2 linked regions of the Yarrowia lipolytica genome follow. The protein of the gene in region 1 interacts with the protein of each later gene in a pairwise test. Links are inferred from orthologs where the notes say so. Each region holds a gene or a part of one and is shown in the gene's direction. Other genes may lie near its edges.

Region 1 (3,421 bases):
GGCTGCTCTGACTTGGCAGGCGTGTCAGGAACTTGATTAGATGACTGAGACGATTGAGCCGACTTCGGCGATAACTTTTGGGGTGAAATAAACGTCCCTTTCTTCGTCTCAGGTGTACCAGGCACCTGGGTGTTTCCCTGTTTCGTCTTACCATGCGTATTTTTAGAAGGTATTGGTGTATCTGGCACTTCCATAGTTGTATCGGGTAATTGCGTAGACATAGCAAGCGGTTTAACCGGAACTGGAGTCGCCAGCACCGTGTCCGCTGAGGTTCTCTTGGCTGCAGGGATCGAATTTAGAAGAACATCAGGAAAGCGAGTACCTGGAATAGGTGTTTCAGTTGTCTTCTTCGCGACGAGGTCGTTCTCAACAACAGGAGCCTGGTAGCTCACCGGCTTCGTCCGTTCCAGATTCACTGGGAACTTTTCCAGCTGTTTGAGTTTCGATCTGATACTCTCTTCGGTATGTTTGTGGTTCATAAGTTCGAACAGATATCTGAGATCTGACTTACCCAGAGGTGGCTTTCCAACGTGCATGTCGATATAAGCTGTAAGGAACCGCACTTCTCCGTCGGTATACTCGGTTCGCGCTTTCTTGGTCTTGGCGAACGGCGAGTAGTAATCTTCGCCTCCAGAGTCGCGTAATGGGGGAAACTGTCCCTGTCTTGCACTGTCCAAGACAATGGAGACGCGCTTGGCTCCAAGACGTGTGTTTCCTTCGAAGTAATCGGGAACGAGCCAGTAGTCGATTGGCGTGGTGTTTGACGGTCTGGAAACGATTGTTCCCCCTCCTTTGCTAATCAGAGCCATGACGGCCTTGCGTTTGGGCACGTCTATGGTGACGAAAAAGGAGTAGGGCGAAAACAGCAGGCTTGAAATGGTCAGTTCTTGGCCTCCGTAAGCCGGGTCTTTCACGGTTACCTCCGCCATGGTTGCTGGTCGAATATCTCGTGTGTTAATGAAGTGTTTATGAAGTATACTGGGACGCGTCTGGGCTGTTGTGGGAGTTGGGCATCAACTAATTGAGTTTCGTTTAGGTGAAGTTTACTGTAGATATGGGGGGTGTGAAGAAAACATTGGAGGGCAGGTTTTTGGCCAGAGTGGTATATCGTACAGTGTAGGGCAGTACTGTAGTATTATTAAGCCACTTTGAAGCCGCACTAGTGGCACATCTAGAGTATTGGGATCGTACTTGTTTATCTGGTGATAGTGTTCTCGTGTCAAATTGTGAAGACATGTTACTCTAGAAGTTTGGTGGACTCCATTGACCTAATACACTATTATATCGACACTGTGCATCTGCCAGCGAACAAAATTGGAACTGTCTAATGTGCAAGGAACACGTGGCTGGCACTCCAGTAATTATTACATATAAAATTGATGCTACGCTTCTTCAATTATGTGTTACTGTACTCGTACTACTCGTATTGCACCAGTAGAATATACCAATTCTGGGACCTACCATCTTGTCAGTCAAGGACCCCAATTCACAGCTACAGTATGTATTGTACTGTACTTCTGTACTTGTACTTAGAGCCCCTGCTTGTCCCCCTGTAGAGAATGGTGTGAGCCTTTTTTCTTGAGATATGCCTTCGGTGGGAGACCATCAGAGGTACGAGTACAGCACTTGTACATACGGTACGAATTACGAGATATTTCATTGAAGATGCATCTATCATACACGTCATGTCTCAATCGATGTGCACTCTCCGTTATTGAGGGGTTTTACTCAACAACCCCTCTCTGCATTCCCCTCTGTTTCTTGAGTTCGTTGTTACAGCATGTCTAAGAGTACTGTAACGGATGTACACTCACCCCACTCCCTACAGTTTCACCACCAACAATCTCTGACCCACTCCCAACGGCAGTACGTAACCCCTCTCGCTTAATTAATCCCCAAGTATGCAAGTTCTTTACTTCAACAAGGTTTCGAAACGGTCGTGCTGGTATGCAGTGTTGTTCTGCCAACTGGCGTTAAATCGCGACAGTTCTCACACGACACCCACGACGGATACCAAGAACACAACATCCATTGAGTGACGCTACTTGTTCAATAATACAAGCACGGTCACTAAGCACATACGGCCACTATCGATCTCTCGACACACAACAGACCCGTTTCTCTCCAACACAAATAAACACAAGAACCCTCAGCATGGTCACCACGATACTCATAGCCGCCTCGGCCATATTGGTACTACTACTGTTACGGCTTCTGTTTGTGTTGCCAGCATCGAACCGATTCGGATTCCTATACAGACCGAAACACTCAAATCCAAAACTCATGGTCATGATGGGATCAGGGGGCCATACTGGTGAGATGTTGCGGATGCTCAAGACCCTCAAGCTCCAAAGCTACGCAAAGCGAGTCTACGTGTCGTCCTCGGGAGACGTGGATTCACTTGAGAAAGTCAAGGTGCTGGAGAGCACCACCAAAACAGACATCAAGACAATGGTTCTCGAAAACATTCCTCGAGCGAGAAAAGTGGGTCAATCCTATCCGTCCAGTGTGATCACGTCTGCCGTATCGTTCGCTGTGGCTGTTAAACTCGTGCACAAACACAAGCCTCACGTCATTGTGTGTAACGGCCCTGCCACCTGTGTCATGCTGTGCTACGCAGCCTTTCTGCTGAGATTCATGGCTCTCATTGATACACGAATCATCTACGTCGAGTCTCTTGCTAGAGTGAATCGTCTCAGCCTCAGTGGGCTCATCCTGCTGCCGTTCTGCGACCGTTTCCTCGTGCAGTGGCCTCAGTTGGCCGAAAAGTACCCCAGAGCCGAGTACCACGGCATTCTAGTTTAGCCAGATTGCAAGCATACTGTAGAAGCAGTCTCCCTTTCTCCATAGCTATTAATTTATTTATTCCCTGATCTGATTTTTTACAATATTTAACAGCCTACCGTACGAGTCTGGGTACGAGTACCAATGATGAACGACATCCGACCTCCGTGCTTCTTACTCAGAGGTTATGTAAGCATCTATAATCATCACAAACCTTCACCACTAAGGACCCCATGTATCTGTGGTCGATCTGACCTTGATTACTACGTTCATCACACCGCGCTCCTGTATGATCCATTAGTCATCAGTTTGAGCTCTACACATCTCGTATACATGCTTTTTGCTCGTAATTTTAATGGTGCATGCGGCTCCTGCATCATGTCCTCAACAAGTTTAGGGTTTTTACTTGGTAATGAGATAATGTCTTTATCAGGGCAATGTGAGTCGGACGTTGAGATTTAAAGCTTCATAGTATCCACAAAGGTCTTACATATCCTGGATATTCTTTTTAATCGCATTAAAATTTTGTTCTGATCAAGTTATCACAACCTTGGAATTTTCCAAAACTCCGATCTACACTCAACCTTATTTCAGACTTACAATACCTAGGTTAAAAAGAAGAACGGTTTTAGATAAC
Region 2 (3,311 bases), on another chromosome or scaffold:
CTCGCTTGATTTTGTTCCGGAGATCGGTGTTGCCCTCGCGGTAGGTGGATACTATTCCGTCCACAATGACAGTGGAAAACGCCTCGATGAATTCGTCTCTCTTCTTGGCCTTGGCCTGCTGGACCACATCGTTAGCGAGGTAGATCATAGCCAGTTTTCGCTTGAGAGGAATGTTTCGAATGTAGTCGTACCAGGTCTGTGCGATGGGTCCGCAAGCTCGTCGGTGGAACTGGATCCATTGAGACACCGAGACAATTGAGTCCTGGGTCTCATTGAGTGCCGACAGCTTCGACATGAAAGAGTCCACTGAGAAAGACATGTGGTGTTGTGTTGAATAGGATGAGATATGAAGTGATGATGCTTGCTAAAAGCCCCTGTGGATCTGTGTGTGTGTGTGTGTGTGTCAGTAACGTTCCTGTTGTCGGTTACGGTGTAAAAACAGGTGTGTCGCTTTTCTGGTTGTCTCCAGACAGTAAAAGCGGTCGCTAAAATGATTGTTCTGGAGAATTGCAGCAAACTGCAAGTCGGTTTTTAGGCCTTTCGTAACTTATTTACGTTGTTCTGCATAGTCCTTGTCTGACCAACTAATTAAAGTACAATTTCAACAAATATTTGTACGATGTTGCCATTGGGACTACTGTACATTTTGTACGTACAGTAATCCAAAGAAGGCTGGTCATTGACTGTGCCTGAGTACAGTCAGAACGGGGGCTCCAGAGATTGTGTGGGGCTACTGGAAATGTAGGGATAATGAATTGGTCGCATTGATCGGATTAATTTCAAAAAAAACAAAAACAATTCACTTCCATACGTGATTTTCCTCCTCGCACAACCACAGCCACCTTATCAACATTTTAGACTTTCATGACACGTGACGTCAATAAGCTCCACATCATCACCTCCCAAGATTCATCACCCAAATAACGCAACGTCACACACATCAACAATGGCTGACAAATTCCCCGCTCTCGAAGATATTGACGATCTCCCTCAGGATGTCGAAGTCGATGTCGACATCAAGGACACCCACGCCGACGAGGATGACTTCAAGAAGTCGTTCCCTTCCCTGGAGGACGAGGAGAACGATCTCACCGAGAACGCATTCAAGGAGGACTTCCCCGCCCTCGAGGAGGAGACACAGGCTACCACCGGCAACGTTGTTACTGCTGAGGCTACCGAGGATTCCTCTCCCGTCGATGGCCTTGAGACCTCCGTCAAGAGCCTGAACCTGTCCGAGTCCACCGCTATCAAGGAGTGGAAGGAGCGACAGCAGCTGGAGATTGAGCGACGAGACCAGCAGGCCGAGGCTAAGCGAAAGGAGACCATTGAGAAGGCCCAGAAGGCCATTGACGACTTTTACGAGAACTACAACTCCAAGCGTGATGAGGGCGTCAAGTCCACTCAGGAGGCCGCCAAGGAGTTCCTTGCAAGCATAGATGATACTTCCTCTTCCTCTGGCACCACCTGGGACCGAGCTCTGAAGCTGATTGATGACTCTGACACCGGAACCAAGGAGGGTTCTCGAGACAAGACTCGATTCCGAGAGATTCTTCTGTCTCTCAAGGGTGACGTCGACGCCCCTGGTGCCGCTGGTTACTAAATGTATGATAAGATAATGATTTAATGAAGTAACAATTAGTAATTTGTGTTGGTTGAAGTGTCACATTATGTGCTTTTGAGGTGCTGTACTAGTACACTACTTGTAGCTACTGCCACACACAAGTTCTGGCATCTTAATAGCCGTGTCAACTTGTCCATGTATACTGACACGTAAATCGAACGAACTCTACACTCAAATTCAGCACAAAAGCAGATGCAGCCAGAGTACGCGTTTTTCGGCTTTAAAAGATGTAGAATCAGCCCAGTAGCAGACATGATTTCTGTCACAGTCGTTTGGAATATCCCACCTAACAGTGTGCCAATCCTAGTCGTCCTGGACCTCAATCGGTCATGCATGAAAGCAGTGCATTGAGTAAGTTGTACAACTGGGACTGTAGTGTCGTATTCATCATCCTCAACATCTACACCACCATGCTGGTCTTGGTAACAACAGGTGGAACGGTGCCGTTTGAGGCTCTCATCGAGCTGGTACTCTCACATGAATCCATTACTACGCTTTCCCAGCTGGGATTCTCCAAAATGCGCGTTCAATACGGACGGGGCAATCGCCATATCTTCACAAAACATCACAAGGAAGGCGTCATGTCGATAACGGGGTTTGAGTACACCGATGATCTCGCAGGTGAAATGTCGAGGGCACATTTGGTTATTTCGCATGCAGGAACTGGATCTGTTTTGGATGCACTCAGAATAGGCAAACATCCAGTGGTTGTGGTGAACAGTAAATTGATGGACAACCACCAGATTGAGATTGCCGAGGAACTGTTCCGGAAACGGCATTTGCTCGTTTCAGGAGACACGGACTCTGTTGGGTTCATCAAAGCCCTTAAAATGCATCGGGAGTATCTATTTGAGACTCTTCCCGATCCCGAAGAGGGTATTCTACAGCGCATTATTGAGGAGACTGTGTCTTTTATGTAAGGTATTGGGCGTGAGGTTGCGAAGAAAGGTAGCTACTTTCCATCGTAAACGGACTATGATCTACGCTTCTACATCAACTAAGTTATTTCATGTTGTATTTCATTAAGTAGCAATTATTTACTTTATATAAGACGGCGTTGCCATGTCGTGCTGGCTGTGTTTGGTGGGAAAGTTAGTGGATTTGTGCTGTCTAGTACATACTGTACATACTCTGACCTTGGTGTTTATCGTCCAGTCATTCGCTTACCAATCTCACTGACCCAGGTAGGAGCTCGCTCAAAGCCGTTGTTACCGCTCTGGTAATCGATCATGGCAGACATGATACCCTCCCGAGTGGTAGAAACGAAAGGGCCGTGCTGAACAATGGGTTGGTCGAGAATCTGGCCACCCACGACGATGATTCGAGAGTCCTCGGTTTCGGATGCTCGGAACTCAACTCCGTCACCGGCAGTGTCAAATATGGCCACATCGTTGGTCTTGAGAACCTGGCCGTCAACGGTAGCACCTCCCTTCATGACGTAAAGAAGAACATTGAAGCCATGGGGCATGGTCTGCTCAAGCTTTCGGCCGTCGTACTTGCTGGCATCAATGTTGTAGTCGAGGTACCAGACGGGAGTGTAGGCAAGATCCTTTACAGAATCCACACCCATGCTTTCTCCGGAAATGACCTTGACAACAACATCCTTGTTTGGAGACTCGGCCACGGGGATCTCGTCCTTTCGAAGATCCCGGTATCGAGGATCACAGTTCTTGAGCTCCTTGGGGAGATC

What was found.
Region 2: the proteins of YALI1_B15180g (region 1) and YALI1_E39395g interact in binary tests that used the Saccharomyces cerevisiae proteins (3 or more experiments, as listed by UniProt). The link is inferred for Yarrowia lipolytica from reciprocal best matches to the Saccharomyces cerevisiae genes ALG14 and ALG13.

What each region holds. Positions count from the first base shown.
Region 1 is NC_090771.1:1,516,760-1,520,180, reverse strand, and holds YALI1_B15180g (uncharacterized protein), read left to right. Parts: upstream 1-2,154; coding exon 2,155-2,805; downstream 2,806-3,421. Other genes in the region: YALI1_B15192g (uncharacterized protein), read right to left, coding at 1-929. UniProt on the Saccharomyces cerevisiae protein: Involved in protein N-glycosylation. Essential for the second step of the dolichol-linked oligosaccharide pathway. Anchors the catalytic subunit ALG13 to the ER.
Region 2 is NC_090774.1:3,937,539-3,940,849, forward strand, and holds YALI1_E39395g (uncharacterized protein), read left to right. Parts: upstream 1-1,950; coding exon 1,951-2,541; downstream 2,542-3,311. Other genes in the region: YALI1_E39378g (uncharacterized protein), read right to left, coding at 1-319; YALI1_E39385g (uncharacterized protein), read left to right, coding at 947-1,600; YALI1_E39414g (uncharacterized protein), read right to left, coding at 2,766-3,311. UniProt on the Saccharomyces cerevisiae protein: Involved in protein N-glycosylation. Essential for the second step of the dolichol-linked oligosaccharide pathway.